Oryzias latipes: one gene and its partner. The protein of the gene in region 2 interacts with the protein of the main gene of each other region in a pairwise test. Links are inferred from orthologs where the notes say so. Each region holds a gene or a part of one and is shown on either strand. Other genes may lie near its edges.

Evidence for each region. The genes of interacting proteins can lie anywhere in the genome.
Region 1: the proteins of psmd9 (region 2) and psmc3 interact in binary tests that used the Homo sapiens proteins (3 or more experiments, as listed by UniProt). The link is inferred for Oryzias latipes from reciprocal best matches to the Homo sapiens genes PSMD9 and PSMC3.

The regions. Positions count from the first base shown.
Region 1 is NC_019861.2:24,483,547-24,486,743, forward strand, and holds psmc3 (26S protease regulatory subunit 6A), read left to right. Parts: upstream 1-1,211; 5' UTR 1,212-1,231; coding exon 1,232-2,176; intron 2,177-2,348; coding exon 2,349-2,687; 3' UTR 2,688-2,697; downstream 2,698-3,197. Other genes in the region: tbp (TATA-box-binding protein), read right to left, coding at 1-37, 462-512.
Region 2 is NC_019867.2:12,049,000-12,052,861, reverse strand, and holds psmd9 (26S proteasome non-ATPase regulatory subunit 9), read left to right. Parts: upstream 1-1,429; 5' UTR 1,430-1,476; coding exon 1,477-1,602; intron 1,603-1,679; coding exon 1,680-1,779; intron 1,780-2,033; coding exon 2,034-2,227; intron 2,228-2,306; coding exon 2,307-2,408; intron 2,409-2,596; coding exon 2,597-2,685; intron 2,686-2,906; coding exon 2,907-2,934; 3' UTR 2,935-3,194; downstream 3,195-3,862. Other genes in the region: gtf2h3 (general transcription factor IIH subunit 3), read right to left, coding at 3,705-3,774. UniProt on the Homo sapiens protein: Acts as a chaperone during the assembly of the 26S proteasome, specifically of the base subcomplex of the PA700/19S regulatory complex (RC).

The sequences.
Region 1 (3,197 bases), on a different chromosome or scaffold from region 2:
TGGGACTGAACACTGGCATGGTTGGGGTCATCACACCCTGCATAATACAATACCACCACGTTGTTAAATTAGAAGAAAGTTTTTTTTTTTTTTAAAAGCTCAGTATTTACAGTAATGCAAAATATGACCTGCAGTATGACTTTCTGAAGCAACCGGAAATCATGCTCTGATTAAATGTAATCGTAGATACAATACAGAAATACAAAATAAAAGAATCATGATTTCCTTAATGAAATTTATATTTCAGTCATAAATATCTTGAAAATAAATATATCAAATTTAAATAAAAGTAACTCATATTCAAAACTAACCAAAACATATGTAATAAGTTGAAATTGAGAACTTATCAATATTTTTCTCAATATTTTGTGATGACCCGATCATGTAATTAGAAATATTATATTTGTGAAATGTTTGTTTTATGAAAACCATTTTGAAGAAACCAAAGCGGAGATTAATACCGGAGGTGAAGCCAGGCCTTGAAAGGCTTGGATGCTGTTGTTTTGGTCCATGTTTTGTGCTTCTCCCGTTCCAACACTGCCAACCACTATTAGGCAGTTGTCCAATCCACTTTCGCAGCAGGTGCCTTGAATTGAGAGGGCTCTATGTACGTAGAAAAAGACCACTAGAATAAAAATAGACTTCACAATCTCCCCTGTTTTTTTCCACAATGCTGAGTCCAGAACGCTGAAAAACAGAAGATGTGTGTGTGTGTACACAGAAGAGAAGTTAGCAAAACTAGAACAGAAATAAGAGCGCGAACATAAAAGAAACATAATATTCTGAGTCACGAGGTCTGCAGTTACCGTGAACCTCATTGTGTGGCCTTTCAAATGCTTTTTTTTAAATCATTAATTCTTGTCTATAGACGATCAGTTCTCTCGTAGCACATCTGACAGCCTTCAAATTAAACACACCGGCTAGCTGAAGTTAGCTGCATAGCTAAAGTAAGCTAGCATACACATAGGGATACAAACCCTTTTCTGTGGCGTAAAGCGTTTGCCGCGTTAAAAAAAGTTGAAAACTAAACTATATGTGTTGAAAGAAAAGCCTGTTAATGAAAGGCAACTTACTGGTATCGTTTTGGAGCTGAAGTGACCACAAAAACAAGATAATGCGAGCTTAGCTTGTTTTATCTAACGCTCAGTCTGGGAAGAAAATGCTTGGCTCCTTCCGGAAGAAGAAGCTTTAACTTCCGGCGTGTCACAGCGCGCAGTCAGACAGAGCAAAGATGGCGTCGCTGAGTGACAAATCAGTTTGGGACGAGGTGGAAGATGGAATCGGAGAAGAAGTGTTAAAAATGTCCACAGAGGAGATAGTCCAGCGCACTCGTCTCCTCGACAGCGAGATAAAGATCATGAAGAGCGAAGTGCTTCGGGTGACTCATGAGCTCCAGGCCATGAAGGATAAAATCAAAGAAAACACGGAGAAGATAAAGGTGAACAAAACTCTGCCGTACTTGGTTTCGAACGTGATTGAGCTGCTGGATGTGGATCCCAACGACCAAGAGGAAGATGGGGCAAATGTGGATTTGGATTCCCAGAGAAAAGGAAAGTGCGCTGTCATTAAAACCTCCACCCGGCAGACATACTTCCTGCCGGTGATCGGGCTGGTGGACGCCGAGAAGCTGAAACCTGGAGATCTTGTTGGGGTCAACAAAGACTCCTACCTGATCCTGGAGACCCTGCCCACAGAGTACGACTCCAGAGTTAAAGCCATGGAGGTGGATGAGCGTCCCACTGAGCAGTACAGCGACATAGGCGGCCTTGATAAGCAGATCCAGGAGCTGGTGGAGGCTATAGTCTTGCCTATGAACCACAAGGAGAAGTTTGAGAACCTGGGCATCCAGCCACCCAAAGGGGTTCTCATGTACGGCCCACCTGGTACAGGAAAAACCCTCCTGGCCAGGGCCTGTGCTGCTCAGACCAAAGCTACCTTCCTAAAGCTGGCAGGTCCGCAGTTGGTACAGATGTTCATTGGAGATGGCGCCAAGCTGGTCAGAGATGCCTTCGCTTTGGCTAAAGAGAAAGCTCCGTCCATCATCTTCATCGATGAACTGGATGCTATTGGAACGAAGAGGTTCGACAGCGAGAAGGCTGGAGATCGAGAGGTGCAGAGGACCATGCTGGAGCTGCTCAACCAGCTGGACGGTTTTCAGCCCAACATGCAGGTCAAGGTAAAGATGCTTTCCATGTAAACATTTGTGTAAAACTAATTGTAATTAGTTACAGCATTATATTCTTTAATCTTTTAAAATGGTTGCTAAATTTTACATTTAAACTTTAGCATGCACTCTAATAATGTTGTGCTCCAGGTCTGACCACAGTGCTCTTGTAAATCCTTCATAGGTGATTGCTGCCACCAACAGAGTGGACATCCTGGACCCTGCTCTGCTTCGTTCAGGTCGGCTCGACAGAAAGATCGAGTTCCCCATGCCGAACGAAGAGGCCAGAGCTCGCATCATGCAGATTCACTCCCGCAAGATGAATGTCAGTCCTGATGTCAATTATGAGGAGCTGGCTCGCTGCACGGATGACTTCAACGGAGCCCAGTGCAAGGCTGTGTGTGTGGAGGCTGGTATGATCGCACTGCGCCGTGGCGCCACAGAGCTCAACCATGAAGATTACATGGAGGGAATCCTGGAAGTCCAAGCCAAGAAGAAGACCAACCTTCAGTACTATGCTTAAGGCCACTGCCGGTGTCTGGGTTTTGTGTGAGCATGTATTGTGATTAAAAAAAATCCTGAGCAAACACTTGTTACTAAAACTATCTTGATTTAATAAAAAGAGAGAAAATCAATGTAGTCTTTTGTCCTACTGATTACAGTGAAAGAGGACTATGAGGTGCTTTCAAACAAATACATAAAAAAATCTTATAATATGGAGGGAAGTTTCTCAGACTTTGTCATGTTTTGGGTGAATCATTCACTTGAGCAAAAATAATCCTATTTTGGACAACAACTTTATTTAGGGCCCTGCATACAACCATATTAAAGGATTTTTTTTCCAACAATTCTTTTAGCTTTATGGATTTGAGAGATCGGTTGGGCTGTATCAATATTAATGTGTTATCAGGAAGCAACCTTTATTACATTTTTAACATTGACGTAAATAAAAACTTCAAATTATCTTTTACTCTATCCATAAATATGGTTTTGTTTGGTTTTCAAAATAGAGGTATGCTTTTATCACGTTTTC
Region 2 (3,862 bases):
CTGAAGTGAAGAGATGCTTTGTCACATAGTATGAAATCAGTTATCTTTAATGCCAGAAAGTCAAAAGATAATCAGACATTTTTGTATGAATTTAATAGTATTTCTATTCTGGAAGAGTGGATGAAAGTTGTGGATATCTAGAAATGCTGTAATGAGGAACTTCAGACTTTTAATGTATTTATCTGTTGTAGAGCAGCATCAGATTCACTAAAGGAAACTAATGGAGGCTGGTTTTGAGGCTGATTTTGTGCTGGAGCAGTTTTGGTAAAGTTGTCAATGTCAAAATATGCACAAGATAATTCCCTTACAGATTTTTCTTATCAGCAAATAAAATAAAAGTCTCCTCCATGGTAGCTTTAACATTGATTAAGAATATCATTCTTACATGATGCAATTACATTTAATTTAATCAATGAAAACCTTTTATTATAATTAATTTACCCTACTAATGGGCATTAGAATGAAAGTTCAGGGCATTGACTTGCAGATATTTAAAAAAAAAAAACAGTGGAATTTATCTTTTGGGGATTTAATGGAATTGTAGTCACTGTGCAAAAACAAAACCACCCCCCCTCCACGCACACACAAACACACACATTTGTCCCTTTTATGATATTTTTAAAGATGTGTCCGTTCTGCCAACATCATTTGAATGCACAGTTTTCACAGCCATCCTCTTAATCCTAGAAACCCACAAAATCTGGAAGCGGTAGAAAGAAACAACATTGAAATCTTACGGTCACTTTTGATGTTTAATATTAAAGAGATACTGAGTAGACAGTGAGGAACAACACATCTATAAACATGAATTACTGCTTTGTTTTTTTTATTTTTTTATTTACCAAGGCTGTGTCCCACCAAGGTGGGGTAGCCTAGACAAGGCACACAATTTTAGCTCCCTCTGTCTCTTCCCCAAACCCTCCTCCTTCAGTGTGTGTGTGTGTATGTGCGTGTGACTGGTCTGAGGCCTGGTCTAAGCCACACCACACTGCACCAGGGTCAGCTGCACACTCCAGTGTGGGCACCTCCACAGCAGGGCCTCAGCCAAGGCTGGTTTCCCCTTGCCGCTTCATCCCAAGACCAGACCTCTACCACACCCATCCATTCATCCATACACAAGCTCTCTCCACCCATCCCTGTCCTGAGCAGCCTCTCTCCCTTGCACCACAGTCATCCCTCTTGCATTCAACGCTCTTCTTACACCCTCAGTCCATCCCATTAGCCGGCATTAATCATAATTTATATTAAAAAACAGGATACCAGCACTTAAAAGCCACATCGCAGATGTCATGTCAGAATCAGGTAGTTACATTTTTTTAAATTCCCAATTTTCTCATGTCGAAAAGAAATAAAAAAAATAAAATGTTTACCCTCCCAACCAAAAGGTGGCGGTAATGCATCAATCTGTCAACAGCGTTCAATAACAAAGACGTGCGTCACAAACCGGAAGTCCAGAGCTAATAGCCATCAGCAGAAATGAAGATGACAGAAGAAAACTCTCTTGAAAGGTTAAATGTAACGATGGATGATGTGAACGCTATGATTAAAAAAAAAGAAGAAATTGAGGAGCAGATAAAGGCGTACTATGATGTCTTAGAGGACGTAAGTTGGACACAAAGTTACATAAACTCTTTGGGTTTCGAGTTTCCAAAATCAATCATTCTATCGGTTTTTTATAGCAGGGGGTTGGAGTTGAGGGTCCACTGGTTGACGCTGAGGGTTACCCACGAGCGGATGTGAATTTATACCAAATCAGGACGGCGAGACACAACATATCATGTAAGCATAAGATTTTTGAAACACATTTTATTGAGCTTGTTGTGTATAGAAAATAAATATAACATTCAACAATCCGACGAAGATCATGATCCTGTATAGCTTGAACCAAAAGTTCAAAACTTATAGTCAATAAGAATTTTAAACAGCAAAGACTCTTTAGTTTAACTATTTATTTTTGCTGTATTTTTTTTTCTTCATTTCCCCCCTTTTTTGTTAAACTTTTATGGCAACAGACGTTATTTCTTTGTTTTCAGGTCTGCAAAACGACCATAAGGCCATCATGGCAGAGATAGAGGAAGCCCTGCACAAGCTGCACGCTCGAGAGAAGGCCAAGCGAGAACAGGACCAAGCAGAAGCCACAGAGGAGCCCATGGAGCAGCAGGTCACCCTGCCTCCTCCTTTTGCACAAGTGGACACCGTGACTGAAGGTTCACCTGCCTCTGCAGCGGTTAGTGAATTTTAGCTTATTTTGTATTCTCAAAGAAACTATTTATACTACTTTAGATATCTTTTTTTTCCCTTAAAAGGGCCTCAAAGTTGGAGATGAAGTCATTGAGTTTGGCTCTGTAAACACCAAGAACTTTCAGAACCTCCAGAATATTGCATCTGTCGTGCAACACAGTGAAGGGGTAAGTTTAGATGTTGTCCTGCAGGTTTATATTGAATATATTAACATTTCTATTTTTCTTCTAATAAGTCTGTTTTGTTGCCACAATGTATTTTGCTTTCAAATTAAAACATTTTTCTTAACAAATTTCTGTTAATTCCATAAGAATTTAACTAAAATGGGAATCTCTTCATCGCGTTTCTGTTGCAGAAAGCTCTGCGTGTCACGGTTGTAAGGGCTGGCCAAAAGGTTCAGGTGAATCTCACCCCACAGCGATGGTCCGGCAGAGGTCTGCTGGGGTAAGTAAAAAGCATCTTCACTGTTACAAGCCCTTGTTTGGATCAGTTCTTGTAGAACCAGCTTGATCTAAATTTAAAAGGGGCTAAAAAACAGCCATTTTATGAAATGAAATACTGGTAAACCAATCCTTTACCATACTTTCTTATTGCTGTTTTTGATTTTTTTTGAATAGCTACACCTAAAGTCAAAACCTGTTCATGTTTCTCTTTTCATTTTTTAGATGCAACATTGTTCCTGTCCAGAGATAAACTACACAACTTACATTCTGGAACTTTTCCCCCACTTTCCTTTTTGAGTGATTTCCCAATGACTTTGTATACAAGAGCAGAATATGGGACAATAAAGAACACTTGAGATTAAATATTTGGCAGACAGTTTTCTGCATTTGCAAAAGTTGGGACTGTTAGTTTTCCCTTCTGCATAACAAAAATAGATTTAGATTTTTCTATATTCTTCATCTTGGTTGAAATTAGTGACTGACTTTAGGATACAGTGATTAAAGAAAAAATAAAATAAGGAAAAATATCTAAAACAAAATGCAAATGCTTTGCAATAATCTGAAATTGTTTGATTGAATTTGGCTTGTTTTTTTCATTAGATTTTTCACCCCTTTTCATGTAATGGGAAGAACTTTTTTGTGTTTGCAGTGTTAAAAATGTCATCTAAAATAATAAAAAAAGACAAAATTGCAACCTGTGTTCTATAGATTCCACACAATAATGCTTTTGAGACAATCAAGAAAAACGAAATTTTAATTCAAATAAAATTATAGATTTTATTTATTGAATCAAAAAGTACAGTTTTTTCAATTTACAAGTAACAACTAAGATATGGGCTGAAAAATATTTAACTTAGCATGTTCCTAAGTCGTCTGTGACATTGGTATGAATGACAGGTGAAAAGTCTGTCTTGACATGTTTGCATTTTCCAGCCCGTTTAAAATTTCAACAAATCTAAAACTACAAAAGTTTTTTTAAGTGACGACAAAGAAGTGGTCTGAATAACATTGGAGGGGCAATCATGCAGGCATCTTGAGTTTCTTCTTTTTAGGTTTGACCATCTGTGGCAGTTGGATTTTAAAGGCAGTCCTGAAACAACACAAAACGAGACTGAACAGTCTAAATGCACAAAGTTCAATTGGTGCTAAATGTCCCATTTACTGGCAGTACAATTTAA